Alligator mississippiensis: one gene and its partners. The protein of the gene in region 1 purifies or fractionates together with the protein of each later gene. This does not show direct contact. Links are inferred from orthologs where the notes say so. Each region holds a gene or a part of one and is shown in the gene's direction. Other genes may lie near its edges.

What was found.
Region 2: the proteins of DLD (region 1) and PDHA1 purify together in Homo sapiens (affinity purification with mass spectrometry; 4 studies listed by BioGRID and IntAct, counting the BioPlex papers as one, with this or other methods). This does not show direct contact. The link is inferred for Alligator mississippiensis from reciprocal best matches to the Homo sapiens genes DLD and PDHA1.
Region 3: the proteins of DLD (region 1) and OGDH purify together in Homo sapiens (affinity purification with mass spectrometry; 3 studies listed by BioGRID and IntAct, counting the BioPlex papers as one, with this or other methods). This does not show direct contact. The link is inferred for Alligator mississippiensis from reciprocal best matches to the Homo sapiens genes DLD and OGDH.
Region 4: the proteins of DLD (region 1) and PDHB purify together in Homo sapiens (affinity purification with mass spectrometry; 3 studies listed by BioGRID and IntAct, counting the BioPlex papers as one, with this or other methods). This does not show direct contact. The link is inferred for Alligator mississippiensis from reciprocal best matches to the Homo sapiens genes DLD and PDHB.

What each region holds. Positions count from the first base shown.
Region 1 is NC_081827.1:28,232,675-28,239,509, forward strand, and holds the start of DLD (dihydrolipoyl dehydrogenase, mitochondrial), read left to right. Parts: upstream 1-3,828; 5' UTR 3,829-3,893; coding exon 3,894-3,932; intron 3,933-4,691; coding exon 4,692-4,767; intron 4,768-4,958; coding exon 4,959-5,038; intron 5,039-6,835. UniProt on the Homo sapiens protein: Lipoamide dehydrogenase is a component of the glycine cleavage system as well as an E3 component of three alpha-ketoacid dehydrogenase complexes (pyruvate-, alpha-ketoglutarate-, and branched-chain amino acid-dehydrogenase complex).
Region 2 is NC_081824.1:319,711,524-319,718,822, reverse strand, and holds the start of PDHA1 (pyruvate dehydrogenase E1 component subunit alpha, somatic form, mitochondrial), read left to right. Parts: upstream 1-4,285; 5' UTR 4,286-4,424; coding exon 4,425-4,487; intron 4,488-4,550; exon of another isoform or gene 4,551-4,565; coding exon of another isoform or gene 4,566-4,568; intron 4,569-7,299. UniProt on the Homo sapiens protein: The pyruvate dehydrogenase complex catalyzes the overall conversion of pyruvate to acetyl-CoA and CO(2), and thereby links the glycolytic pathway to the tricarboxylic cycle.
Region 3 is NC_081830.1:10,102,468-10,109,806, reverse strand, and holds the start of OGDH (2-oxoglutarate dehydrogenase complex component E1), read left to right. Parts: upstream 1-4,328; 5' UTR 4,329-4,440; intron 4,441-7,339. UniProt on the Homo sapiens protein: 2-oxoglutarate dehydrogenase (E1o) component of the 2-oxoglutarate dehydrogenase complex (OGDHC). Participates in the first step, rate limiting for the overall conversion of 2-oxoglutarate to succinyl-CoA and CO(2) catalyzed by the whole OGDHC.
Region 4 is NC_081835.1:892,645-900,596, reverse strand, and holds the start of PDHB (pyruvate dehydrogenase E1 component subunit beta, mitochondrial), read left to right. Parts: upstream 1-4,935; 5' UTR 4,936-4,950; coding exon 4,951-5,049; intron 5,050-5,125; coding exon 5,126-5,233; intron 5,234-5,318; coding exon 5,319-5,381; intron 5,382-5,466; coding exon 5,467-5,502; intron 5,503-5,687; coding exon 5,688-5,973; intron 5,974-6,847; coding exon 6,848-6,958; intron 6,959-7,652; coding exon 7,653-7,744; intron 7,745-7,952. Other genes in the region: BTB/POZ domain-containing protein KCTD6, read right to left, coding at 329-1,015, 2,436-2,462. UniProt on the Homo sapiens protein: The pyruvate dehydrogenase complex catalyzes the overall conversion of pyruvate to acetyl-CoA and CO(2), and thereby links the glycolytic pathway to the tricarboxylic cycle.

The sequences.
Region 1 (6,835 bases):
GTGGGATGGGCCAGTGTGTACTGTCCGTGACCACGTTCAGATCAGTAGCACGCCCTCCGCTCCACGCCGCTTGTCGGGTCAGGGCACTCGCTTCTTCCTTGTCTAAGATGTCAGATCCGAATTCTACTATTAGTCGCCCCAACCACATGGCCAAAGTCTCTTCTGATTTTATTTTAGATTCTCTGCAAAGTTCCTGTATTTCTGGTCGGGTGCGCGTGCGAGAAGTAACAGTGGTACGCGTGGTACCTTCTTCATCTGCAACACGCTTCATCACAGCTATCGGGTGAGCTGCGGCGGAGAGAGAGTTAAATTCTTCAGGCGGGAGCGTTGGGTACATCCCTCCTCCCATTGCCCCCTCCCCATGGCAAGGAGGCGGGGCCGTTGGGAACGACGTCACCTCAGGGGGCGGAGTTGCTAGGCAGATCCCCGCCGGGTCTTCCGAAACTCCGCCCCTCCTTTCCGGGTTTTCCGGATGGCTCGCGTTTCTTTCAGCGCCATTTTCTATCAGCGGCATCATGCGGCCGGCGCTATTGATAAGCATCGCTCTGGAGCTCTCTGCCTTCCACTCCAGCGACTCCTTACCCACCGTATGCAGCTGAACCTCCAAATTTGCATATTCCCTTAGTAGACCCGCTACTGTATGGAACAACACATTCATCATTTTTCCCTTTTTCCACTTGGTTAAACCCCATCTGGGCAAGTGATGGCCCTTGGTCTCCAGGTCCTCCCGGAGCTGAACGAGAAGCTCATGACCCCGCGACCCAGGCACCAAATCCGGACAGTTGAACCAGTCCGTTGGGGTGGGTTCCCCTTCTTCCCTCAGGTATCGGGTGCATTGAGCAAACTCCTGAGCAGGGGTCAGCTTTTCTGCCTTCCGCGCCTTCACCCCAGCTAGGGATATGGTCGATGTTTCCTCCGGGGGTCGACAGTAGACCCGGTCGCTCCCCATTATACACCCGAACTCCCCAAGGGATAGCTTTGTTCTCCACTCTTTTATGACCACTTCTTCTTTCTTTACGGAGAAGTAGCCGTCAATATTTCGTTTATCCCCTTCTACCGCCTGGTGGTAGGCGATATGCGCCCATAGATCGTTTGCATTTTCCACGCAGCGGATCCCGGTGCGCCAAGGGCAGCACCCAATTAGGTTCATCTCCATCACCATGCCCTTAGATCCCATCCTCGTCACCATGTCTCAGACGGCCAGGGCCGACTTGAGGTGATCTAGAAATTACTCGGTTGTTGGGCGGGCTGGTGAATGGAGAGGCAGACAAAGCATATTGGTTGCAAATAAGCTTTACTTACGCCGCTAGTAGCCGCAACGCAGGTGGTCCGGTCGCTTAAACAACTACACGAGTTGCTCCAGCTGGCAAGGCTCAGGCCAGCGAATCCGTACACGAACCAGGCCGGCAGGGAAAGGGTACGTCGAGGGATGGCGCTCGGCGACGGGGAGACAAATCGATAGTTGATCAGGCTATAGATCAGCTCAGCCATGAGTCAGGAATCTTCAAAGTCACTCTGCAACGTGCTCAAAGTTCTTCGACTTGGGCGGAAGTTGCACAGAATTTTATACGGCTAACAAGCCAATCGCTAGCCGCCACGTAGGAATAATTTAGAACTGGCCAATAGTGGGACACAAATTTGCATACGAATGGCAGGAACTCTCTTGCACCGGAGTTTTCTGTTGCAACAGAAAACTTTTGCTGTGCACAGAGACTCTCATGTGGCAGGAAAATTCCACTGTGCCGAGGCACTAAAATCACTGGGTTGTGACAAAGTCCATGGGGCCAAATGGAATATACCCAAGGGTGCTGAGGGAGTTCGCTGACGAGATTGCAGAGCTATTGGCCATAATCTTTGAAAACTCACAGTGATCAAGGGAAGTCATGGATGATTGGAAAAGGGCAAACATAGTGCCCATGTTTAAGAAAGGGAACTACAGACCAGTCAGCCGCACCTCAGTCCCTGGAAAAATCATGGAGCAGATCCTCAAGGAATCCATTTCTAAGCACTTGGAGGAGAAGAAAGAGATCAGGAACAGTAAGCATGGATTCACCAAGGGCAAGTAATGCCTGACCAACCTGATTGCCTTCTATGATGAGGTGACTGGCTCTGTGGATGTGGGGAGACTGGTGGATGTGATATACCTCGATTTTAGCAAGCCTTTTGATACGGTCTCCCACAACATTCTTGCAGGCAAGCTAAGGAAGCATATGAACGAATGGACTGTAAGGTGGATAGAAAACTGGCTGGAGCATTGGGCTCAGAGAGTAGTAATCAATGGCTCGATGTCTAGTTGGCAGCAGTATCAAGTGGACTGCCCCAGGGTCAGTCCTCGGGCCAGTTTTGTTCAATGTCTTCATCAGTGACCTGGAAGATGACAGAGTGCACCCTCAGCAAGTTTGCAGATGACACCAAGCTGGGGGGAGTAATAGATATGCTGGGGGGTAGGGCTAGGATTCAGAGTGACCTAGACAAATTGGAGGTTTGGGCCAAAAGAAATCTCAAGAGGTTCAACAAGGACAAGTGCAAAGTCCTGCACTTAGGATGGGACAATCCCATGCACCAGTACAGGCTGGGGGCTGACTGGCTGGGCAGCAGCTCTGCAGAAAAGGACCTGAGGGTTACATGCTGAATATAACCCGGCAGTGTGCCCTTGTTGCCAAGAAGGCTAACAGCAAACTGGGCTGCATTGGTAGGAGTGTTGCCAGTAGATCAAAGAAAGTGATTCTTCCCCTCTGTTCAGCACTGGTGAAGGCACAGCTGCAGTACTGTGTTCAGTTTTGGGCCCCCCACTACAGAAATGATGTGGACAAATTGGAGACAGTCCAGCAGAGGGCAACAAAAATGGTGAGGGGGTGAGGGACATGACTTATGAGGAAAGACTGAGGGAACAGGGCTTATTTAGTCTAGAGAATAGGAGACTGGAAGGGGACTTAATAGCAGCCTTCAACTACTTGAAGGGGGCTCAAAAGATGATGGATCTGGACTGTTCTCAGTGGTGGCAGATGACAGAACAGGGAGCAATAGTCTCAAATTGCAGCAAGGGAAGTGTAGGTTAGAGATTAGGAAAAACTTGCTCGCTAGGAGAGTAGTAAAGCACTGGAACAGGTTACCCAGAGAGGTGGTGGATGCTGCATCCTTGGAGATTTTTAAGACCCAGCTAGACAAAGCTTTGGCTGGGATGATCTATTTGGGGATGGTCCTGCCTTGAGCAGGGGGTTGGACTAGATGACCTCCTGAAGTCCCTTCCAACCTTAACTTTCTGATTGTATAAATATAACGAGGTCCACCTCCTTCAGGGAGCTAATCAAGCACTGCCACCTCCTGGCAGCCTTTGTCGTATGCAGAGAATGAGAACTGGCAAAGGCTGAATTGTCGGCGTAAGTCCGAGACTGAACTGCCACAGACATTTTAAAGACTACCTTAAAAAAATGATTTCTAGTAAGAGTTTTCCCCTGACAATAGTATTGCTCTTTTGGCATCTAGTCGACTGCTCCGCATACTCCTCGGTGGACTTACTGGTAGATGCCTCTGGCATCATTAAAAAATAAGTGACCCCCAAAACACCAGTAGAGGCGAGGTTTAATTGAGAGGCCGTCTGGCTTTCCTCTCTCTTCCTGCACAGGCCGTGCAGGGCCTCGCCCCCGCAGACCCCGCTCGCCAACACGAAACTGCTCCGCATGTAGCCGGCGCTGCCCCGAGAGTTCGCAGCCGGGGGGCGGGGCCGCCGCGGGCCCTCCCAGGGCCTCATTTGCATGGCCCCGCCCCCACGCGGGCCGCCAGGCCAGGGGGCGCTCTGACCGCGACAGGCTCCTTCCGCCCTCCTCGGCGGCTCCACGGCCCCGCCCCCCGGGTCTAGTGCGCCTGCGCGAGTCCGCGGAGACCTTGGGGCAATGCAGGGTTGGAGCCGTGTCAGCGGGGCCTTCGCCCGGGTACCGCGTGGGGCGGGGGGGTCGCTGCCTGCGTTTCGCTGAGCCCCTCCCTGGGCACGCACGGCCCCCCCCGCCCCTGCATGGACCGTCCCACTCCCGGGCGGGGGGTGCTTCCTCCCCGCCCCCTGCATGGAGTGTCTCACTCCTAGGTGGGGGGGTCTGTGTGGGACCCCTCCTGCTTCTCCCTCCCCAGCCACCTCCCCCCCCCGAATGGTACAAGCCGCGGGGCTCCCTGGGGGGGGCTGCCCTGGCCCTCGCCCTTGCACTCGGGGTCAAGGCTGCTCAGGGTCATGGCTGCTCGGGGTCAGGGAGGCAAAGCCAAGGGGGCGGGAGGGGTGTGCACAGGTCGTTGGGTGCAACCTGCTGTCTGAGGCAGGATGGGCCCTACAGGCCAACCTCACACCTAAACTCTGTGTAAAACTACTGCCAGCCCTCACGTGACAGGTCATAGCACCCCAACGTGTCGCAGCAAAAGCAGGAGAGCCCAGGCTGCGGGCGTGCTGCTTCTATAAAATATTGTCAGTGCACGCTCAGTAGGGCCTGGGTAGAGGCCCTCGTCCCCCGTTACAGAGGAAGGCAAAACCCCCGTGGTCGGTATTGCTCTGACTGCGATGTTCCTCCCTGACTCCAAATAACCGGGGTCAGTCCTGTGTGCAGCAGCAGCGGCTCTGGGAATTGGAGAGACTTGCATTAGGTGGCCCAGGCTGCCAGTGCCGTGCCGAGGCGCTTAACTTTGCCGATGCTGCTTTTCCTTTCTAGAGAAGCTGTTTTAGCCGAGTCCAGCATGGCCTTCCAGGGGTTTGCACAGTGCCGCAGAGGACCTTTGCAGAGCAAGGTAAGTCTTGATGGCTCTGAAATCATTTTTGGGAACTGAAGGAGCATTTCTAGTTTAGTTCTAAAACTAGTGCTCTTTTTGCCCTGTGGCAGTCAGTGTGTGGAGCATTGTAGGCTGTCACAATGAAACTGCAGTAAACCAAAGTTACAGAAACAACAGTAACTTAAAAGTGATATTCTTTTTTTCCATAGTTGACGCAGATGTTACAGTCATTGGTTCTGGTCCTGGAGGCTACGTTGCTGCTATCAAAGCAGCTCAACTTGGTTTTAAGGTAAGATGAAAACTTGTACTGGGTGCAAGAAAGAAAACAGCATAATTCAGGTGCGCTGAGAGGGATAACTGCAGGGCCAGAGAACTGAAGCCGTCCTATTGAGTGTTGAGTTCACTAAGACCTACACGTGCATGTAACAGAGTCCTGTTCCACAGAGCTTGCAATCTAGGTCACAGGTTAGCAACATATCACCTGCAGGCCAGATATGGCCCAAGGGCTTTGCTTGTGCTAATGCCAAGGCTAAGCAGCAAGAAGTTGCACCAGGGCCAGGCAACTTCCAACTGTACTGTTGTTGCTGCTGCTGCTGCTGCTTCTTCCCCCAGCCCCTAGCCTCTCTGCAGCTGCAGCGTGGATGCAGCTTCCCCTGATGGGGAACTGTACCGGGGATGGGCAGGTAGAAGCTGCGTCCATGCTGCTGCCGCTGCTTCTCCCTCTTTTCCTCACATCCTGTTACTTCCCAGCTGTGGCACAGAAGTGGCAACAGCAGCATGAGCACATCTTCCAGCTGCTTGGCTCCAGTGCAGTTTCCCACCACCTGGAAGCTGTGCCCATGCCTCAGCCAGGAAGCAGGGGTTGGGAGAAGCATTGGTGGCATAGACACAGCTTTTAGCTGCATGGTGCCAGTATGGGCACAGGGATAAATTTGCTGCTGCTGATGCACCATAGAAACCACCTGGCCTGCACTGGACCAGAGCTAGGTTGTTCTGGCCTGAGGCTTGAGAAGGTTGCCAGCTGCTGATCTAGATAAAGGTTTTCACAAACAAAGGGTTAATGTGGAAACTGACCAACAAAGGTTAAATGATTTTTTTGTACATTGTTCAACCAACCTACTTTTAAATTTGAGTTATGGAATAGATTAAAATCAATAATAAATATAATAGTGAATAAGGAATACACTAGCTAAGCTTTAAAACAAAAGAAATAGGGTGGCCTGTGAGAGTTTATATGTTTGTAAAAGTAGAAAAGAGAACAGTTTCTTCCAGGAAAACACACTGCAAGGTTCTGACCAGTAACAGGATCGCAGCTCTGATTTAATTTAATTTTTATTTTTTTTAATCCTGGAGGGCATTGGTGGCAGATGACAGTGAGGAGGGAACCTAGAACACACTCAAGTCTAAATACTGATCTCTAAATGTTCCTTTTGCACCCAGGTTTGCCTCCAAGTGTGGCAGTGAACAAAGTGTCTTGTTTTTTCTGAATGTTAGTGAAGTGCTGCTGAATATTCTTTTATTCTTCCTGTTGTTTGTGGTACAGTTCAGCTGAATAAGAGTCTGTTGTCATTAATGTTTTTCTAGTTCTCTGTATTCCAGTACAAAAGAATTTCTTACTTTTAACTATTTCTTTTTCTTGCTGTTCAGCTCGTATTGAGGTCTTGTTTGCTGATATTTCTTGGCCTGAGCCACCAGTGCTTGAATGTGTTTGTCAGTAGAGTTTATCAAGAGCCTTAAGTTATTTGGCACATTAGCACCAAAAGAATGAGAGAGGACTAAATTTCTTCTTGTGGCTGTAGGATTAACAGAAGCAGGCAAACATTTCCCTCAAGATTATTGGTATGCTATTATCATAAACATGATGTTTGAGAAGGGAAAGAGACAACTCAGAGACTTCATTTCTGTCATGGCAGACGAGTGTCTGAGGCAATTAAACTTGTCACACTGTCTGCCTTGGGAGTCAACCACAGAATATATTGCTGCTGGATATATTTGTCCATGTCATGCTGAGCATTGCAGAAACAAGAGGAGGGCCTCTCTCTTTCTTGAGGTAATCTAGTGGAAAACTCCTCTGGGACTTTTATAA
Region 2 (7,299 bases), on another chromosome or scaffold:
TTAATACTGCAGAAGAAGGAACAACAAGAACAAATAGCTGGCAGCTGAGCCAGGCAAATTCAAATGAGACATGAGTCATGTTTCTAACACTGAATGTGATTACTGGAACAGACTCCTGAAGGAAGTGGTAAATTCCATGTGGCTCTTCTGCAGGGATGGAACAGGAACATCTGCCCCTTGAGCCAGAGACTGTTGTCCTCTGTTTGTGCCTGCCAGCCACTAGAGGGAGATGAGGCACAAATTTTGCATATGGATGTTCTAGATTTTGGCTGACAACAGAAGCATTTACAGAACCATCTGGTTCTAAGAGGAATATACTTGAATGGTAACAGAAGCTACAGCCCCCTTTACATTTGACCTATATTTCTCTGTCTCCTCCAGCCCACCTTCATCCCATCTGTTCTCATCCCAGTTCATCTCCTCTACACTCATTCCACATCCCAGACTCACTCCCTATTGACAGCCCAGCAAGAACAGTTTGTCCACTGTCAGTCACTGTAACCACAGTAGCCACTCAGCACCAATGCGGTCCATAGCTGGTGTGAGAAGCAATAGCATGAACATGTTTTTGCTGAGCATGTGACCTGTGGGGTTTTTTCAGAAACTCATAACTTGGTAAGTCTTTGGAGGCACAGGAACTTGTTAACTTCAATAGGACTTCACACATACTGGAATAAATGCAATATGTATCATCTCTCGGTATTTAATTTACAAGTAATTATATGCTGGATATTTTTTTCCTAACTTGATATTTAGCCTCATCCTTGGCTAAGAGAAAATAAATATAAAGTCTAATTACTGTAACATTGAATAGATATTGAAGTTACTGGGGGTTGAATCTACTCAGCACTGTTCTGCCGCCATGCAGCATTTCAGAGAAGCATATCCTTAGATAGACATCACTTTCAGTGTTTTTAAAACTCTCTCCTTTCTCAAACAACAAAAAAAGAGTCTCAGCACCTGACCATATCTAAGTCAGGGTTCCGAAAAGTACGGCCACATTCGAGCCACAGCTTTTTGGAGATACAGTGTCAGCTTTTATCAGCAAAGCTTTTATCAAGTTTTCTTTCATAACACATCAATCTGAAACTTGAGTTCTACAATATCTTAAAAAGAAAGAAACAGAAGAGATCTTTGAAATACTGAAAGTATTCTTCTTTGAAGTCTTCCTATTACTTGGATGAAGCAGGGGCCTTTTCCTCTTGATGGAGCATAGGTGATTACACACCAATATGGTTTTCTCTGATGTGGGAAAAAAAAGAATATCTAAAGTGAGGATCCTTGAATGAAGAGCATACAATGATGAAAGGTTTCAAATACATCTTTTGCACACAGACATACTATAAAGTGTGTGTGTAAAGCATCTCCCTGGATTTTTCAAAAATTGGTTAGAAAATAAAAGGATTTGAGGTAAGACTCTCTCTTCTTCCTTCTCTGCCTTTTTTCACTAAGATCAAGTCTTTACTATGTAAGCATTGCACATTTAGCTCCCGTATTCCCCATCTCAACCCATCACTGAGCTAAGCAGGCTACATCCTTACTATGTAACTTAGTTGTGTCCTTCCCCAACCCAGCCTATAACATGTAGTCACCCTTGTCTGAGCCTCTATATTTCCTTCTACTCCTTCAACTGGGTAACTTCTTTTTAGCATTCACTAATAAAGTAAATCTGAAAAAGCTTATAAATGCTTGTGAAATTTCATAGCACAGGCAATAGACTGAATAGAAGCCCAGAGGCATGAAACTTGACACTTAATAACAATCCTGGTAGGAATTAGGAGTCAGTAGAAAAGAATAAGGTTTTCTTTTGCTTTAAATATTATTTTTAAACTATTTTATGTTTTATTGATAATTCTGTCACTGAGCCTGACTTTCAGTCAAATAAAAATAAGAGATCTCTTTCCCAAAGCATCTACAATATAAGTTAATACAGCATGTTCTGTATCAACACGTTGTTGAGATTCCCAGTATTTCTTAATAATTTCTCATATTTTGAGCTCCTTGGAGTTATCTGTGTATGTGTGGTTATCTTTATGTGTTTTGTATAGTGTGAGGGATGTCATTAATAAAGCACAGAAAGGGGAGGGGGGAAGTGGTATTCTAGAGCAAGGATTCTAAAAGTGAAACATCTTCCCGATTATAATGTCAGCATCTGGTGAGTTCAAGGGTTTCCCAAATTCCAGTGGAGAAGCAGTGGTCATTTTAAAAATTGTGTGGTTTTCTAATTTACAGTTTTGCTACAAGCAAAACACCTGGGAGATTCTAAAAAAGCACTCTCCTTGTTTTATGATTCTAGAAAAGGGCTCCCGTAGCATCCCCCACTGTGACTCCTTAATGTCACAACCCAAAGTTGTGGTTTTTGTTTGTGTGTGCTTCAGCACCGCTAAATTATTGTTCCCGCCTAAATTGTAGCTTTCTTTGCATGGTGGAGTTCTCTGCTGCTGGAGAGAACTCCGGTGCAACGGGGGATTTCCCGCCGTTTTGCAGCTTCTTTGCATGGTGCATTTCTTTTGCATACTAGTGATGCACGTTGCAAAGGAGTTCCCGCCATTTGCATTTCGATTCGCGCCACATTATTGGCCGATTCTAAATGTAGGCACACGTGGCGGCTAGCTATTGGCTTGCTAGCCGTACAAAAGGCTTGAGTGGTTTCCGCCCAAGTTGGAGGACTCCACGAACACCAGGAGGAGGAGACTTCACACTGTGTGAAGATCTCTAAGCGCTGCGGATCCTTACGGACCCAACGCTTTTCTCAAGCAGGCAATAGAGGCTTAACGATCGAACCCACGGAGCTTTAACTACTCCGGAGGGGAAACAAAAGAACAAATCGCCTCTAGCCTCTCCCCATCGCCGATCGCAATCCAAGACATATCCCTTTCCTGTAAACCCAATTTTCGAACCCACGGAGCCTAAACAACTCACCTGTAACTGCTACTTCTCCATAAGCCACAGTTGCTTGTGTGGCAGCTAGCTTGCAAAGCTAATGCTTTTTTATGAGTTTGTCAAATATATCTGTATAAGTCTCTGTATATGCTACTGGTATGCATGCCTACATACTACCAGCATCATAGTTTGGAGGGCTGGCTTGTCCAAAACGATCAGTTAGGAGTTGGAAAATGGCAACAGCACCTTGAAGAGTCAAAGTCTGGCCTGGCAAAAAAAAAATCATGGGATGTCTAATGTCCAACCCCATCTTCCACTTCCAATCCCACTGCATGCTATACACTTTGAATGAACTTCCCTCTCCCCACATGTGACAGTGATGTTGGTTTAGACATGACTACTTCATACCAGCGAAAGCAAAAGTAGTTATACGAAAGCAGTGACGTGTCAGCATAAATCCCCTTGTCTAGACAGGCTGCAAATGATTAAAACTTAATATACAACTCTGACTGAGTAGGGAACATATCGACAGTCAGCTTCATGACCGTATTGTAACCAACAATTCGCTTTGAGCTTGGCGTCTTGGCCACATGTATAATTAGCTCCAGCCCAGGTAATTACATGCCAACTACCTAACTTTTTTGCAATTGCGATTCCAGGCAGCAGTTAGATACAACACAGCTAAGGCCAAGCCTTCAAAAATTAGGCATCGGCCTCTCTCACCACCTGACATCAGGAAATCGGTCCAAAAATAATCAGATTTTTTAAAGAGATGACAAATATGATTTTTTCTTTTTTTTTTGGCTCTTTTGATGGTTGGGTGGCCCTAGCTCTGTGTATTCCCCTGGCTCTCTACAACATGGAGAGCTATGCGTCCACATGAAAATAAAATCAAGGAAGGAAAGCTCAGATTCTCACAAGGTTGCACTGCACCACGACTTGAGGCAAATGCCAAATAATGCAAGGCTCAGGCCAGGCATGCCCCAGCCATGGATACTTTACACTTGGCCCTGGGGGCTGCAGCCACCTAGGCAGGCACTTTCAACAGGTCTACATTTTTTTTTTAAATAATAATAATTTATTAACAAAAAATCCACAACTAATGTATTAACTGACAACTCATAATAATTATTGTAATAACTGAACATTAATGTTTATCCATGACATGACTTTGGGAATTGCAAAGGGGGGGGGGGGAGGAGCTCCCCTGGGATCCTCCACTCCCATCACTGCCTTGCTAGGGCCCCTGGGCTGTCAGCCCTGGAGTCCCAGTGCGCATGCGCAACCAGGAGCCGAGCGCTCGGGCAGATTCGTTCAAATTCCTTTAGGAACGTGGAACTCGGGGAGCGTTGCTGGTCGGCCACAACTCTATAGCGAATCTCCCTTTTGTCAGCCGCGGAGCTGTCACTCCGGGCTAGATTCCGGTCGGCCCAACGAGAGGACGTGGTGCGGCGGAGGTAGTGGCCGCGGGGCCTGGCCGGCGCTGAAGGAGACTCGAGGACACGGGCGGGCGTTGGGCGTTGCGGCCTCTTCCCCGCTCCATGCGCAAGATGCTGCTGGCCGCGCTCTCCCGCGTGCTGCAGGGCCCGGCCGCCGCCCGGACGGTGAGCGAGGGGGGACACACTCGGCCTGTTGCAGAGCCCGGCAGCCCGGACTGATCTATCCCCCTGCCCCCGGTCCGAATGGTACTGCTGGGGGGGGGCCGCGAGACCCCCCCGCCATACGGAACCCACCGAGGGGGGGAGGGGACGTTGGGGGGGCGTAGCGGGAGTGACATGGAGGGGGCGGGGCCTGGCTTCGTTGCCAGTGGGGGTCTACGCGGGGGAGCGGGTGTCCAAAGGGGTCCTTGCGGGGGAGCGTTGGGCTGCCCATGGAGCGCCTGTGCCTGAGGGAATGGGGGCATTTCTAGCAGGATGAAAGTATTTTGAAAAAGATAATATTAGGGGGAAAAGCCTGCGTAGAGGTAGGGCAGTGGGGCTAAGCCAGGAGGCCGCATCCTCAGGAGCCTCGAGGTCATCTCCAGGGGGCCTCGAGGTTCCACGCTGGGTTGGCGCCGCGTCGGCGGGCGCTGTCCTTTCTGCTTTGCTTGGTGTCCCCTCTTGGCACTTGTGTTTCTAGCCTTTGACCTCTGCTCCCATCCCTGTTTTTATTATTATTTGTCCCAAGCATTCAGTAACACATCTCTAGTGGACCCCTGTGTTAGAGGGGGTTATAGTTTCTTTGGCGGGCCTGGCCCAGGAAATCCGGTGAGGTGTTAAAAGGCCATTCATCGTACGACCGCCATGTGCCACCTCTACCCACTGACATCATGTGGGAATGTGCTCTGCACATGCCCCCCTGCCTTGCCGTGCCCTGTGCGCAGTGTTGTTGGTGGAAGAGTGCCTCTGGTATTTTTCCAGTCACAGCCCCTAGTGCAGATTGGCACGTGGGCAGCGGCTGCCTCAGGTCCAAGGGGGCGCCATGAGTCCAGCCAGGTTGAGAGCTCTTGGTGGAGATACCACAGGCTTTTGTAAGCTGCTTCCCCTGGCGACAGACGCCGTAGCTGATGGACACTTAGAGCTTTGCAAGTGCTGCTCAGACGGACAGCGAGCAAGGCCGACATCACTGGCCCAGGCTGAAAGGTTGTGCAGAGTCGTGGCGCTTCTTTCTAGCCAGTGAAAATGAGAATTGTAAGAAGGCACTGCTCAAAATCGACCTGCCGCACAGGCAGGCGATGCGAAAAGATCCCTGTTTCAAAAAGGTGCAGTGCTCTGCTGTGCTTCTTACATTGAAGTTGTTGTGGGCTGGTTGTTCTCTCTGGGGACTCTTCCAGGCTCTTGTGGGGTTATTTAAAAAAACAAAAAAGAAAGAAAGAAAGAAAACATCATCTCGGATCTCTCCTCTTTCCTCCCCACCTGTTCTCCTGTATCATCCCACACTCCTAATGTTGTCACTTCCTTTGTTGTCTCTTTTCTGTATTCCCAATCACTTGGCTTTGATGCTTCCTTCATTTTTCTCATGCCCTCACCTTCATGCCATCTTGTTATGCTATCCATGCTTGTGGGATAGTTTCTTCTTTCTGCCATGTCTTCTCCAGATTTTTGCTCTTCGTTCTGCCTTTTCATGCTGTATTTTTCCCTTCTGTCAGCTTGTGTTTGGATTGTTCAACACAACAGGTAATTAGCATATTCTGTCTGCTGAACCTGGTTTGTAAAATGAGATATAGATTTGCAGTGGTGTGTTATATGCGCTACTCTTGCAAGTGGCTAATAGGAGCAGTAGTGTCCTCCACTGTAGTGACAGAACTAGTGTGCCACGTGGCTACTAGTTTGATGGTTTGGTTCATTTGGAACTAGGTGAGCATTTGTCTTTGGCTACTTCCTACAGTTGTTGCAAAAACTTTTTTGAAAGGCTTTACAGAGTGTGTATCCCAGCCAACCGTTCCTTCACCCCACTTGAGAGTGGTAAAGGGAAGTAAGGGCCAAAAGTGGGGGTCAACTTGGGGCACTTAGAACATTGTTGTAAACGGCAGGAAAGTGTTTGAGCTCCTTGTGTTTGGCTACTCAGTCTGGCTGAAAGCCGTATTCAATACATAGGGAGGTTCTGCTAGTTTAAACAGAATGTCAGCGCAGAACAATATGCAGCAAGGTTCAAATACTGAACTTGTTAATGAAAAGTAAATTATAAAGGCTGGAAAAGGAGGTTCAGTCTTTCCTGAGTGCTAACATCAGTAGTTCAGGAAGTCCATGCTGATCTTTTAGTTTAAAAGTCCCTCTTCAATCCTAGCAATTGTTAGTACAGGCAGTCCTTGGACTTACCACAATTGGTTTCTGGAAACCGGGTCTTAAGTTGAAATGTTGTAACTTGGAACCAATTTTCTCATAAGAAACAATGTTATAAATGGGGGATTGGTTCCTGAACCAAGGCCTGATACCCTATGTTCACCAAAAATACCCCAGAATTTTGTACTCGATCAATTATAGATGAGTGACATAGTTACATTAATGTATTTATATTGTAAATAGCAATCATATTGATTTGGAAGGACTTCTTTGAGGTGACTGCTGGACTTTTTGAAGGGCTCTTGGTTGGACTTTTTGAAGGGTTCTTGGCTGGAGTCTTCTCAGGAGTCTTGGCTGCAGGTTTTTCTGGAGTCTTGTCTGCTTTCTTAAAGAAAGTGTCCAAGGAAGTTTGGACAGATGTTCTCCAGGGAGATGAGTGATGCAGCGAACTTGTTCACTGGTGTGGTATCACATCAGATCAAGCGTTGTAAAGTCGAAACTGACGTTAGAAAGTTGAAACAGGGTGTCAGTTTATAAATGTTGCAACATTTCGAGTTGCAACATTTTGCACTTACAAGTCAAGGACTGCCTGTAATGAAAAGAAAGGAATTGGAGGACTAAGGTGACAGATGTTTTGGCAGGAGAGTCTAAAGTG
Region 3 (7,339 bases), on another chromosome or scaffold:
GGCAGCCTGGGCCAGTGCGGGCAGTGATTGCAGGGGAACTGATGTCAGGGCGGGCTCCCCACTGGCGTCATGGCCACAGATGCTGGCAGCTCCTGGGGGCTTCCTTTGCAGCCTGGAAAGTGGGAAACTCCGTGCTGATGGAAGCTGGTTCCCTGCCTCTTGCCTGATGCAGGGCTGTGATTGGGCTTGAAACTAGGACTACACTCAAGCCCAGGGCTGACATTGGGAGAATATCCCACCCAGAGCTTTGGCTTTGAGTGCTGACATAGAGGTGATACTGAGATTATAAAGAAGGTATCTAGGTCATCAAGAAGGTTCTGAGGTCATCAAGGCAGTGCTGAGGGCATCAAGCCAGCATCCTGGTGCCCATGGCACTGCCAGGCCAGGCAAAACCTGGCAGCAGCCTCAGTGCCCTGCTGGCACCTCTCTCAGTGCCCCACAGCCTGCTGCCCATCTCCTTATGGGTCCTGCCCCATGCCCAGGTCTTAATCCCTGCAGGGTGGCTGTAGCTCACGGGGACGTAGCATCATGCCAGTGGACCAGGCCATGCCTTCTCTATTGGCGTTCACAGTCACCCTTCCCAGAGCTTTTTAACTGCTTTTCTCCAGCCACAGATCAGTCCCAAAGATGGCATTCCAGCTTCTCTGGGTTGGGTGATTCTTGGCTCTGAAGAACCAGAAGCCCCTTGACGTGTCCAAAGGCATCCAGCTTCCTCGCAGCCAGAGGAAAGGAAAGAAAAGACCAGATGGCAAGTGGAAGAGCAGGGTTTGTGGGAATCAGATGGAACCAGAGGGCCAGTGGGGGTCGCAGGGGTTATGTCTAGTCCACGAAGGATTGTCTCCAGTTTATTCCTGCTGATATGTCACCCCAGAGGAGCTTTTGGATAGGCACCCACTGGTGTTGCCATCAGCATGAAACCTTCCAGGCAAGCATGGCGGAAGCCTCTGTGAAAACAAGCAACTCGTTTAGTCCCCCAACCAACTCCAGGTTCTGCTTAATAGCTCCCTTCAGCCCCCACTTGGACTGAGAAAAGCCTGGCATTGATGCCCCTCCTGACCCCTTTATTCCCTTGCTGGACCTGGAAGCAGAGTCAGCTGAACCCACACACCCATTTTAGCCTCTGACTAAGGCTGGGGGCTCTGATATGTATGTGGAGTTACAGCATTCACATACCACCGGGCATAGAGCCACAGGGCCTGGACACACTTAGCCCCATTTAAATCCAGTTGAAACCCACAGAAGACAACTGTACACACCTGTTGTACTGGTTTAAAGCCACCTGGGATGGTTCAACCATGTGGCCAGGAAACCCAGGGCTACTTCCATCCAGTGCGGTTATAGGTAGATACCAAGCCTTCTGCAACAGATCTGGTCGGGCCTCCAAGCATCCCACACTGCATTCTTGCCCCCCCTCGCTGCTGCCATTGGCCGCTCTGGTACACAGCCAGAATTCTACTGCTCCTTGTTTCCCCCCACTACTTTCATTAGCAATTTTTATCGCTCTTTACCTGGCTTGGTCAATCCAGGTGAACTTCGTAATGAACAGCTGTGTCCTCATTCCCCACCTGACTGCAGCCAAACATCTGCCCCTACCAGCCCTTGGGAACCCAAAGAGGTGGGTCCAAGACCTCTCCTTCCCCCAAACCAGCAAATGTGCCCCAGATTGCAGGCTCTTGATTGAACTTCTCTATAGGCGATAAGGGAAAGCAGAGCTAACAATCCCCCAGCCACAGATTACCCACTCCTGAAACCCCCAGAGGATAGGTGCAAGCCCTTGCTCCCCCTAGAAGCCATGTCCCCAGGAGCAGGGCAAAGGGTAATGAGGGAAGGGATGGGTCCTGGAGGATGAAAAGCGCTGCAGGGTGCTTGGATCATAGCTAGGAGGGAAATGCACAGCTCAACTGGGTGATGGTTTCTACCCTGCCCAGGCAGGCCGCTCCCATGCCCATGCCCATCTGCTGGGCCTGGTACCAATGCAAAGGAGCCATAGGAAAGCTGCTTTCCTTGTTCTCTCATCACACCCAGCCTGGGGAACTCCCAGCTTTCTGACTTCCTTCCTCAGAGAGTTTCTGGCACTGGGCACTTCCCATCTCAGCCCCTGCCCCAGGGGCAGGGAAGGCACTGGGCACTGTCCCCAAGGGTGCCGAGCTGTGCAAGGCGGTAGGTGGATGGATCCTGATGGCTCACAGGTGCAGGGGGATCTTAGACTCCCAGCTCCTCCTAACACCGCAGACCAGCCCCATGCACAAGCTGGGAGCCTCTGGCACAGGGAACGAGGGCTGGCTGGGGGGGTTCATTGCCCACTGCTGCAGTGGAAAGCAGCCCCTCCACCTTCTCCCGCCTGTCTAAGCAGAGGATGTGGGGATCCTTTCCTGATCCTCACTGCAGCTCAAATCTGGTGAACAATGCCTAGCATCTGAAATCTTACCTACATTCAGTAACCATCAGAAAGGGAGGATGAAGAAGGGAACTACAAATAATACAGGAAGTATCCTGTTGCCTGGTGCCTGCACCTCGAGAAGGAGACAGAAGAATTAGAGAAGGTGCAGAGAAGGGCAACATGGATGATAACTGAAATGGAGGGGCTTCCCTATGAGATGAGTGTATGGAGGCTAGTGTGAGAGAGACGGAGAGTGAGAGAGGGTGTGTGGGGTGGATAGACGGATAGATAAATAGTGTGGGTTGGATAGAAAGACGGATAGATTGTGTGGGGTGAATAAATGGATAGAAGGACAGATAGTGTGGGCTGGGTAGACAGATAGATGGATAGATAGAGTGTGGGGTGGGTGGATGGATGGGCAGGCCTATTCAGTTTGGAAAAGAGACACTTGAGGGGGGCAGGATCAGGGTTTCCAAAAAACTAAATGGCAAAAAGAAAATCAATAGGGATTTATTACTGACTGTCTCTTCCCAAACAAGACCGAGGGGTCACAACATGAAAGGCACAGGTCATTGGTTTAGAACAGACATCAGGCAGTTCTTTCTCCCCCAGCGGGTCATTCAAGGGTGAGACTTGTTGCCAGCAGATATGGGGGAAGCTGAGAGTCCAGCCAGATTCATGGAGGGATTGGAGTTGTTCATGGCAGAAAGCACGGCAGTGAGATGCATGGCCTCTGAACTGGAGCTTCACAGATCCTAACTGCTGGAGGCTGCATATGAGAGAGGAACAAACCCTGCTCAGACCCAGCGGTCTCCCTTCTAGCCTTCGCTCTCTGCCGCCCCGTGACGCAGGAGTTTGAGCAGGATGGACTGAGGGTCTTCTCTGCAGTCCCTGGCAGCTCTGATGTCCTTAACTCTACCCCAATGTGTGGTAGAGATCCCTCGAAGACATCCCTGCCCCTCAGCACTGAGAAACCGAGCGCCAGAGATCAGGATGAGGCCTCCGTGGGCCACCAAACCTCAAAAAGGAAGTTCCAGTTCTGGTGATTTGGGATGAAGCCAAAGCCTCCCTGGCTGGATTTTCTACCCCTCCCTCAATAAAACCTCCCTTCCTTTCTCCCCAGACCTGGCCTCAACGGGTTAGTCCCACTGAAAGGGACCCCCACAGTGACTCCTGCCCCTCCTGGTGTAGGAGCTGGGGGCAGGGACACAGCAGCAGCAGTCAGGGGTTTGGAGTCCCCTGGGGCAGAGGCGACAGAGCCCTGCTATCAGGGGCGGGGGTTGCAGGAATGTGGGAATGAGCCTGGGGGGCTCTGAGATTCCCCAGCAACAGCTGCTTCTCTCCCATCTAGGGGACACAGGCCGGGACATAGTGTCCCCTGCCCAGACTCTGCTCTTGCCTCACTTGCCATCTCCTCTGCGCTGGGCAGCATTAAGGATAATGAGTGGCTTGTCCGGTGACATCACTCTGAGTGGCTATGACATCACAGCCCCTCTGTCACCGAAGGGGTCATGTGAGACCCCACCTCCTTAACAGGGGTTAAGGTGACATCTGTCTGTAGCTCCAGGTTGGGGGACTGAGGTGCCAAGGTGGGAGCCCAGCCTCCTCTCCACACCGCATGGGGAAACTGAGGCAGGACGACATTCAGCAGGATCAAGAGGAAGGGTCCACGCGCCACAACAGACTCCCGCCACGAAGGCAATATCCAGGCCCCACCCCTCCCGCGCTAGCTCCCTCCACTTACTGCCTGGCCACGCCCCTTAGTCTCCCCGCCCATTGGCAGCTGGACGCCTGCCAGTCACGCTGTGGGCGGGGCAGTACGTAGGGGGCGGGGCAAGCCAGCGTGTAGGGGGTGGGGCCAGGGCGGTGACGCACAGCGTGTAGAGCCGTGGCCTACGCGGTGACGCAAAGATAAGGGCGGGGCCTGGGCGGTGACGCGAGGCGCAAAGGGCGGGGCCTGGGCGGTGACGGAGGCGTAGGGCGGCCGCGCGGGCGGTAGTTGTCGCTGACCGGGCGCTTCTGTCAGAGTGGAGCTACGAGGGGGACGCGTGTGACGCCAGGTACTGTAGCGGCGGGGCGCGGCGTGGCGCGGTGCGGGGACCCGCGGCGGCCGCATGTGCACCCCTTCCATCCCTCCGTCCCCGGCTTCGACTTGCCCTTGTCCGGGCACCGCCTGGGAGCGGGGGAGTGGACCGGGGCTGGCGCGCCGAGCGACAGCCTCTCAGGCCAATGGGGAGCCGGCGCGGCGCACTTCTGCCTGTTCACTGGTTGCCCCGTTTGGCGGGCTGCGGGGGTTGGACGCCGGCGCCTGGGGGCGGGGCCGACCCAGGATCACCCAGCCGCGCCCGCCTGCTGGCCTCCTGGGTTCCCTGCCCATCCCCCACACCCCGCTCTCCCGGGTCCCTCCTCCCTACCCACACATTCCCCCACCCCTGCATGGGCTGGGGGGGGAAGATGTCAGCCTCCTAGGTTCCCTAACCCCTCCCGCATTGTCCCCCGTGGGGCATCCCCCACATTCCCGGTTTCCCTGGCCCCCCCCTGCAGCTCCCCAGGCAGGCAGACAGGGCTGCTGCTGTACTGGGCCCCCTGGCCCTGGGCAGACCTTGGTGCTCTCAGCTGTGGGGCAGGACAGCAAGTGTCCCTGGTCATGGAGCCTGGGGGGGAGTTGGCAGAGTCCAGCCCCCTGCTCTGTGCAGCATGTGCCTGCCAGACCCTCCCAGTCGAGTGTTTGCTGCTCCTGCTCTTGGACACTTCCAGGGACAGAGACTTGGGAGGCCTTGGGCAGCCTGCACGTCCCTTCTCGATGCCAGCCTTAGTCTCCCCTGCTGCAGTTGAGGCTGTTTGCTCCCCGTCCTGTCCCCATACCCGTCCATCCTCTGTCATTGCCCTCAGGGGGCTCGAGGGCTGGGATCCAATCCCCCTCCCCCCCCCCCCCCCCCCCCCCAGGCTTCTCTTAACTTGACTTGATTACCCCAGCTCTTCCAGCCCATCCTTATCAGTCCTGTGTCCTGGGCCCCTGATCTTTTCTGTTGCCCTGTGTTGGACTCTTTCCTGCCTGTCCACCTCCTCCATAATGTGCAGGGCTCAGAACTGGCCACAGGACTCCAGGCAAGGCCTCCCCACCCTGGGACTGCTTTCACCCCTGTTCTTGTGAGTAAAGCTGGGGGATTTAGTCTCACCATGGGTGTCGAGATCCCCAGTGCTGGATGGAGCTGTCTGAGCTTGATTGCACTGAGGAAGAACCTGTGCTCTTTCCCCCAGGCTGGACCCCACAGACAAGCCCTTAGGGAGCTCCCTTCTGTGCCCTAGCTTTAGTATCAGTCCCAGCTGGTGCTCTCTTGGTCTCTGTAGACTTTATTTAGTTCATCTATAAGGTGTGTCTTTACTCTGGCTTCAGACTAGCAGGATTAACCACCTCTCGGGGTTTAGCTCTGCCCTTGATGGAGCTGCCTGGCTGGGACCTATGCTTCATGTCAGCACTGTGTGACCTCCCAGGAATGTGTCATTCCCTGCCTGGCACCTCTGAGGCAGGCTGGGAGAAGGGTGTTTCAAAGGCAAAGCAAGGAAGTTGCCAGTCCAGCCCTTCTGGGCATCTGCTGTTATGGCAACAGTTGTTGGTGCCTTGTTCTTCCCTATCCCTTGCTCTCCTGCTGGTAGGGAGTCCATGCTACAGCGTTGAGGGTACTCTGGTGTGCACTGCGATCCTATCAGGGGTGCCATGCTAGCCCTGTGAGGTGTGCAGGCATGAGCTCCCCCTCCCTTGTCTTTCCTGTTCTGATCTCTCTTCTGCACTGCTGCTTGTAGGTCCTTTCCCAGCAATTGGTGAAAAGAGCTTAGGCTCACGACAGCTTGTTGTGTGTAATGTACACATGCATTCACATGTACACACACGTATGCGCACACACTACATATGTCCTTACTCTGTGTATGTGATCTACATAGTTACTGTGCCAGGCATTCTTCAGGATGCGTGTGGCCAGATGTAACATTTATCACAGCTGAGGAGGTCATCCGGTGGGTAAAGCAAGACCTTATCACACTGTAACTCAGTCTTTGTAGTACTTTTATATAACCCTGGATGAGACCGGGATAACCCAAGAACTTTGGAGCAGGGATGGCATATAGATATGGCCCACAAGCCCAGTCCAGCCTGCTGGATTTATGTGGTGCCATGCAATTCCTAAAGAGCTGCCATAGCCTCGGTCAGACCCTAAGTCCATTTTGTCTAGTCTTCTGTGTCGTACGGTGGCAGAGAGTAGATGTCAAAAGGGGTAGTGACCTGGGTATGACCAGAAGTTTTTCCATTCCTTCTCTCACTTGCAGCCTTCAGCATTTAGGGTCTAGGAGGCTGTGCTACTCACTCTTGTACTTGTTGGCTACTGATGCCACTTTTTCCCCCAAGCATATGTCCAATCTCTTGGTGAATCTGGCCAATCTCTCAGCTTCTCCCACATCTGATGGTAATGAGTCCCACTCTTGAATGACCCGCTTGGTGAAGAACTGCCTTGTATTGGTTTTGAAATGAGCAGGCTGTCGGTTTATGTTGTGACCTCATACTTGACTGGTGAGATGGTCAATAAGAAATCCCTATTGACTTTCTTTGCCACTTAGCATTTTGTTAAACCCTGATCCTGCCTCCCCCGGGAGCTTCTCTTGTCTAAACTGAGCAGACTTAGCCTTATTAGTCTGTCCTCAAAATGAAGCCCTTCCACAAAAGGATTTTTATCTGGCCTGGTGTGAGGAAGTGGTGTTGAGGGGGAGCCATAGGTGGTTAGGATTGTCTGGGATGGCAGCATGTGGCATGGAGAGCTGGCAGCCTCACCCAGCTTGGTGGGAACTGTGGTGGGGCTGGGAAGTTAAGATCTGGCTCAAGGTTCCCAAGTCAGGCTGTCAGATACTTGGCAGGAAGTGGGCAAGGACTGCCATGGCATTGGAGAGTCTGACGTGGCACTGACAACC
Region 4 (7,952 bases), on another chromosome or scaffold:
TTAAAACAGAGGCAAATTTTAGCACTTCAAAATGACTTAGCTGTGCTAATGACACATAGGGTCCTATCCCACTGGTTGTTAGAACCCCCTTTACCCAAAAAGTGTCTCAACAGTTTGAACAGGCACATGCATTTTTGTTTCTGGACAAAACAAAAACAGAGCTGCTAGAGAAAGTAACTTCCCTAGACCTTAATGAATATTAATAAATAGTCATACAAAAAAAAAAAAAAAAGCAGCACACGCTGTTGGTTTAGTCAAACCCAGGTCCACACAGGTGCACTGTCCAGAAAGCCGCTAGCCACTGACACTGCTCTTGTGGAGTCAAACATCAGTCATCCGTTTTCCGTGCCAGCCTACAGAAAGTCCAGTTGTGCTCCACCGTGTTCTCATTGGCCCGTTCACTCATGTGGTGGACACGTGTGTTTCTGATCGTGAAGCCTTGCTTTGTGATGTACTCCATCAGGTGGACTCGGAGAGAAACCTCCTGGTGGTAATCACATGGTCCAAATGTGAAGGAAACTTGGCAGTCTCTGGTGTCCATCATGTGCTTATTCCACTTGGTGAAGTGGTTTGAAATGCCTTCCAGTAAGGAGTGGACCTTGGTCGTGATGGTTAACTGTGTTATGATCACTGCCACTGGATTGGAATATTTGGAAAGCTTCCGTGTGCTGGACAGCTCCACTACTTCCTCAAAGGTATCCATAGGATACAAAGGCTTGGGGTCATTAAGACACTGGATTAGGGGTTCAATCTGGTAGAAGTCTGCTTCTTTCCGGAGCAGATCAAATTCCTTGAAGTCCAATGGCAAAGTCAGCTCCGAAGTCCTTAAAAAGTTAAGAACGTATCGGAAAAGTGGTCCATCTCTGTCAATAAAGTAATTACCCTGAGAGTCCCTGGCAGTGGGAAAGTCTCCCCTGAACATGGCCCCAAGCATTGAATCTGGATACCTTGTGAGAGTGGTCAGGGAAGTTGTATACATGTGTCCACCCACATTGATTGTGACTGGATCAGTCATCTAGAAAGAAAGAGAGAAATGACAGAGTTTATCAAGTCCCCACGAGAATTTTATCACCAAGGCACATGGCAGTTACTGCTAGAAATGGGCTCAAGAAAGAACCGCATCTCCTCAGCTGCAAACCCAGGAAAGGCCTCACTCTTGAGCAAAGACAAGAAACCTGGTGACACAGCACAGCTGGTTACAAGAGAGAATATCCAAAGCTCAGCGCAAATTGTGAGGTGCTTTACAGACACTAAGGCCAGCATGAAGCTTCCTGTCAGCACAAAGGACTCTCTCATCAGCAAGGTAAGCGTTTCCTATTGTGCAGGATGTCAAACAGATGCAAAGGATGATCGTTCTGAGCCTACAGAACCAGACGGAGTCAGACGCCCAAGGATCCGTCTCGTAGCATGTCTCATGCTTTGAGAGAAACATAGCAAATACGCCTCAAATCTCTTTGCAGAAAATTAAAGGTCATTTAAAGTCAACTTTTGCTTCAGCTGTAGGGAGCCATGAAGACAATACTGTAGCCTCAGCTTGCAAAAGACACATCTGTCAGACAAAATGTTGACTGTGTAGAGGGGGTACCTGGGCACTGGAGGCAGCCCACAGCTATAACCACCCACATCACACCCAGAAAGGCAGGTGAGAGAAGAAATACAGATCCCACTCGGTCACTGAGTCATGGCCAGGGCTGAGGGCCTGCCAGATGTATCCAAAGAGAGGAGAATGCTTAGAGGAAAAAAGGAAAGAGCAATAATAAGATGAGCGAGTCTGGCCTAGTTTCAGAAATGCAGTTTAAGAGGCAAGAATAGTTTTTCCCCAAATAAAATGGCATCAAAATACGTAAAGGAACATGGAAGATTTTGCTTTTTCCAGGACCCTGTACATCAAGGAGGTTGCTTTCCAACACTTCCTAGCCCATCATTGTGGCCCGATCTTTTTAAGAGAATTGTAAGTGTTGTCTTAAGTCAGCCTACGTGCCCCGAGTGGCCTGGGCAGCATCCATGTGTGGCGTGTGGCAGATAGGGCAGACAGAGAGGCAGGCAGGAAGCAGAAAGCAAAGCAGCAGATCAGGCAGGGAGCACAAGGAAGGGAACAGAAAGCAGAGCAGCTGACTGGCCAGGGAACAGGATCAGTGCGGCACTTGGGGAAGTAGTGGGGCTAGTTTGTAGCACAGCTGCCAAAAAGGCTGACCCCACTGTTTTATGTAATCCCTGCACTGTCTGGAGATTAACAACGTGAAAGGCCCCACAGCCATACTGAAATGAAACACCTAAAGACAATGTAAGTAAATTGTTTTTAATAAGATTTTTCTTCCCATAGTTTCTTCTCTGGGTCTATACAAAGCCAAGAGACTGGAGGGGATCCTTACATTAAAATCTGGAAAGCCCAAGTCTCTCTCAGCATGCACACACATCTGTACTGGCTCACTTACCATATATCCCCAGTCTCCATTATCCATCTGTTCTGTTGCTTGATCTGTGGGAGTCCAAGTTTAACAGAAGGTTGCTGAAGGGATATACAATTCACGTCTATTCCCCCTGCAGACAAACAGATAGATAAAACAAATAAATAGAGAGATCTGTCAGATTATAAGCATTGCTGGTCTTTAAGTGCTTCTACTCAAAGACAGGCTGGGTCTTGCTGTCACCTATTCAGGCAGCATAGCAGCAACACCCACAAATGAGGACTTCCCTATACTGATCTTCCAGCATCCTTTCCATTGCCTGAAGACAGGCCCTATCTAGAGAGAGCAGTGCCTTCACAAGCTGTCCTCAGTATTCCAGATTTGTTAAATAGCCTGCATGGCATTTCTGAAGTTTTATACTCGCACACCAGCTACAATTCATCTGAGTGGGGGACATCTATCTTAAAAAGTAACCCCATTTACATAAGCCAAATGCTTGATTTATTCATCTCATGTCTGAAGGTCCATCTCAGTAGATGTGGAGACCTGTGTGCTAGCTTTATGAGTCAATAATTCTGTATCTCAGCAGCAGCAGGAACTCAGAAGTCACTTGGGGGGAGCAGGAGGGAAGTAAAAGAAAACTTCCTATAGGTAGTCAGGAACATTCACCTTCAGGGCAAGGTCCCATTAAAGCCTGCCATCCTGCCACTGCTGGAAGGATGGATGAAATGCTGTGACTTGGGTTGGTGGCAGACCAGGCTAGGCAGTAGCAGAGGTCTCCTCTGGCTTAAACTCTAGGACTTACAAACAGTTTGGTACAGAAAGGATCTTGTGGGAGCTTTGGGAAACAAATTAACCCAGGCACGTGTTACCCAGCAAGTAAAGTCACAGCGCTTGAGCCGAGGCAGAGCTCTGCACCACTCAGTGACTACAGAAGTAGCGTTCAATTTCTGACCCAAACAGCCTGCTCTCCTGTAGCCGTCACAGGCCCGTGTCCCCACTTGAGAAGAGCATGGCAAGAGCGAAGTGCTTTCTGCTCAGAGAAGGTCTGGACTGCAACGGCAGAGCGTGAGAGCTCTCCCCAAAGGCCAGCTGCACGTGGAGAGCAGAGGCATACACAAGGCAGGCATCGCATGTCCCCAGCCACAGGAGAATCCCGTGTCCAACCCTACACCTTTTCCCAAGCACTAAAACGCAAATAAGTTAAACACAATATCGGCAGCGTGGATGAGTCATGCTGGACAAGGCAAAGGGGAGGCTTGCCTCAGCACAGCACAAACGACTGCCGACCGAGGGAGAGATACGAACTCAGAGCGTCGGCTCTTCCGCGCAGGCGAGAAGAACCAGCCATCGGGGCAACGAGCCTGCAGAGCTGTTCTGTGCTTCCCAGCTCAACGGCAACTTACTCCCCCCGCTAGCGTTAGCCTGGAGGCGCAGACCCTGGGTTTCTCCTTTAGACAGGGACTGCTCTGTTCCAGCGCAAGGTGCGAGAGGACACTTCGCATCAGGCCGCGGCACTTCTTCAGGAAAAGGGCAAGGAGGGCCTCTGACAAAGTCCCCACAGTAAGGAGAGGAGGGGGAAGCAGACCTGGGAAAACAGTGCGACTTACACGCGTATAATCAATGACGTCTCAATAAATGCTCAATGGCACCAACTCTAAACAGGGAAGAAACATAAAGAGGTCTGCACCCATCTACTGAAAAGATTTTCTCTGACAAACATCTGTGTGACAGGAGAGAGGCCATCTCCAAAGCCCCTGGGACGGATCCATCCCGCCACGGCACCGCTTGGGCGATCACAAAGAAAACGGAGCAGATACATCTTGCTGCCCGAAGCTACCCTTGGGCGACAGCGCCGCCACCGTAACACCGAGCAAATAATTTATAGGAGCAATTAGCTCAGGCAAGCCCGTGTTTTGATAAATACATCAATAAATAAAGCAAGCATCTAGATGCGTCATTGATTTTGTGTCGGAGTCTGCGGGGAAGCCGGTTTGGGAGCCTCTGCCCGGCTAGCCGGGCTCGTGGGGCCGCCCGTGTAGGGGTGACCTCTTTCATCCGACCCACGAGGGTTTTGCAAAAAAATAAAAATAAATAAAACTGTCTTGGGCAGGAACACCCTTCGGCGGCCCCGCGAGCTAAGGAGCACGCGCATCCGCTCGGGGCAAAATCCTAACCGCCGGCGCGAGCGCCACCGAACGCCCGCCCGCCCGCTACCTCTTCATCCCGTCACGGCGGGCGGGGAATGGGCTCGTGGAGGCTGCAGAAGGGAAGACTGAGGGGATGACAGCGGGCGAGGGGCGCGGGGCAGGGCCACTCCCCTCAGGCGGGCGCGGGGCCGCACTCACCGCGCCGCTGCACTATGTCCCTCGCCGCGTACCGTCCCGACCCAGAGCGGATGTGACGTAGCACGCCACCGCCGCCGCTTCTCGCGAGACGCCGCCGCGGCGCCCCGTTGCCAGGCAGCGAGGGGGCGGGGCCGGGCGCCCATTGGGCGGTGCGGGCGTGACGCCACGCCCTGCCGCTGGAGGGCACATCCAAGATGGCGGCGGCACTGAGGGGGCTGGCGCGGGCCGGGTTGCACCGCTTGCCGGGCCCGCTGCGCCGGGGGATCCGCGCCTCGGCGCCCGCCGCCGTGCAGGTACCGGGCCGGGGCCGGGGCCGGGGCCGGGGGGAGCCGGCCGGCGGGCCCGGCGTGAGCGCGCTGTGCGCCGCAGGTGACGGTCCGCGACGCGCTGAACCAGGCGCTGGACGAGGAGCTGGAGCGCGACGAGCGCGTCTTCCTGCTGGGCGAGGAGGTGGCGCAGTACGACGGCGCCTACAAGGTGAGCGGGGCCGGGCCGGGCCGGGCCGGGCGGGCGGGGGGGCGGGGGGCCGCGGGCCCGCCTCACGCTCTGCCTGCGCCCGCAGATCAGCCGCGGCCTGTGGAAGAAGTACGGCGACAAGCGCATCATCGACACCCCCATCTCCGAGGTACCCCCGCCCCGCCCCGCCCCCCCACGCCCCCCTGCCCCTACCCCTGCCCCGCGCTCACCCCTCTGCCTTCCCTCCCTTGCAGATGGGCTTCACCGGCATCGCCGTGGGAGCCGCCATGGTGGGTGCCCAGCGCTGCGCACAAGGAGCCGGTTCGGAAACGGGCCGGCGTGGGGGGGGGCGCACCGCCCGCTCCGTGCGCCGCAGCCCCGCGGGAAGGGGGAGCGGGGTTAACCCCCCCAGGGCACGGGGGGCGCCAGGAGGCCGGACGAGGCTTCGTGACTGGCCCGTGTCCTTGTTTAACAGGCTGGGCTGAGGCCAATTTGCGAATTCATGACCTTCAACTTCTCCATGCAAGCCATCGACCAGGTGATCAACTCCGCTGCCAAGACCTATTACATGTCTTCCGGCATGGTCTCGGTCCCGGTGGTGTTCAGGGGCCCCAACGGCACCTCGGCCGGTGTCGGCGCGCAGCACTCGCAGTGCTTCGCCGCCTGGTACGGGCACTGCCCTGGGCTGAAGGTGGTCAGCCCATGGAGCTCCGAAGACGCGAGAGGTCTGCTCAAGTCGGCCATCCGGGACGACAATCCAGGTAATTACCAGCAGGAAGTCCCGCTGTACTCGAATAACTAGTCTCGGCGCGCCCTCCGCTTCCCTTCTCCACCTTGACCCCGCGAAGAACGCGCTTAAAGCGTGGGACTCAAATCGTGAAGGTAATCCTGGAGACCTTTTCTCCTGACCGCGACCTCTTCTTCAAAACCAAAGTTAAACTAGAACAGCATTTCCCAACCTTTTCCTCCCCCTGGCATTTCCCAATAAAGAAGCACCACGGCGCAGGGGGTGGCGTGTGGCCAGCCGGATGCTGACAGCGGGGTGGCGCACGGCCGGCCCAGCAGCGTTTTGGGCTGGAGTCATGCTCCTCGTCTGTCTGTGTCCACCCACAGCAGCAGCAGGCAGGGGCTTGGCTCCATCCCAGCACGCTGCGGCACTGGTTGGGAAACGCTGAACTAGAATATGGGCACCCCCCCGACGGTCAGCTTGTGCACTGCTGTCCTAGGAAAAGGATGACAAGCATAGCCCTGGCCCTTTAGACCCAGTCCTGTAGCCGTCACTTGCGTGTCTGTGGAACAGATGTGGAAGCCGTCTGGGAGCAAGTTCTGGGTTTCTGATTACCCCCCAAATGTTGCATCTCCAAATGCTTAGTGTGAAATCACCCTCTGGCTGTGGGATCAGTCAAAGAAGCCATTTCAAAATTGTGCAGTGCTACAAGTTAATAGCTACTTAAGTGAAGCTTCGAGTCCTCTGGGCTTGTCTAAGCGTGCTGCTGCGTTATGCTTGTCCTCCTGTAATTGAGCCGAGAGGAGGAGTCCACCATCGTGGGCCCTGACAGTCTTGGAAAATGTTGTGTGGCACCTGGATTGGGGGACCTCCAGACTAACCCAAGTGACCACTCTAATGATCTTTAGTTGTGATGCTGGAACATGAACTGATGTATGGAGTTCCCTTTGAGATGTCGGAGGAAACGCAATCAAAGGACTTCTTGGTTCCTATTGGCAAAGCCAAAATAGAGAGGCCGGGTAAGTTCAGAATACCACTATTCTGTATATTCTCACTTGTAAAAGTTCTCTTTCCTTGCTAGACCAATTGAACTCATTAAGTGCTTTCCTTTATAAAGTACTTCCTTCTTGCAAAACAGGGAACTATTCAGAAGGACACTACTAAGACTTCTGGTCATTTGGATTTTACCAGCTATTTGTTTTTAGCACTTATTACTCACAGACAAAGTAATTTAGGGCAGGGCCATCTTGACCCACAATTAAAACACTTTCTAGTGGCCAGCTAGGCCTGGTGCAGTTGGACTGTCTGAAACGAGTGAAAAGAAAACAACACCCACAACCAGAGCTTAGATTCTTTGCTCAGCATATCAAGAAAGGTCACTAATGTGCAGCATTTCAAACCTCTTGTCAGTTGTGTATAACTTCGCTGTAGAAGCATGCAAGCAACTTGTTATTCGTGGCATAGCAAGTTGATCCCATCCATTCTGCCAATACACAGAGCACAAGAACGATGCTCTTAAGTAGTCGAACTCAGGAAGAGTTCCAGTAACAGACTTCTCAGGCTAGTCCTGACATGCAAGTCAGATGCTGAGTACGCTAGACTTTAGCTAGGTCAAAAAGGTGAGGTCTTACACTTAACTTTTCAGAGATGTTTAGTGTTGAGCTGCTTGACAGGAAGATCTGTCTTGATCCACCACCAGCTTCTGTGTTTCAGGAAAGCACGTTACGTTAGTGTCGCACTCGAGGCCTGTTGGACACTGTCTGGAAGCAGCTGCTGTCCTTGCCAAAGAAGGGGTGGAGTGTGAGGTATGTCCCACTCACTCAGTGGTATTTCAGGCCAGGATGAAAAACATCTTTCGTTTAAATTGGATTCATTCTCAACTGCTTTGATTCCTGAGCTAAAGAGGGATTCAGCCATGCTTGTGCTTTGCCAGCAAGGTGGAAGTTTGCATTTGAGATTGCAAAACACTGTCACACTTGGTAGGATTCCACACTGTTTTACTGATGCAGACAC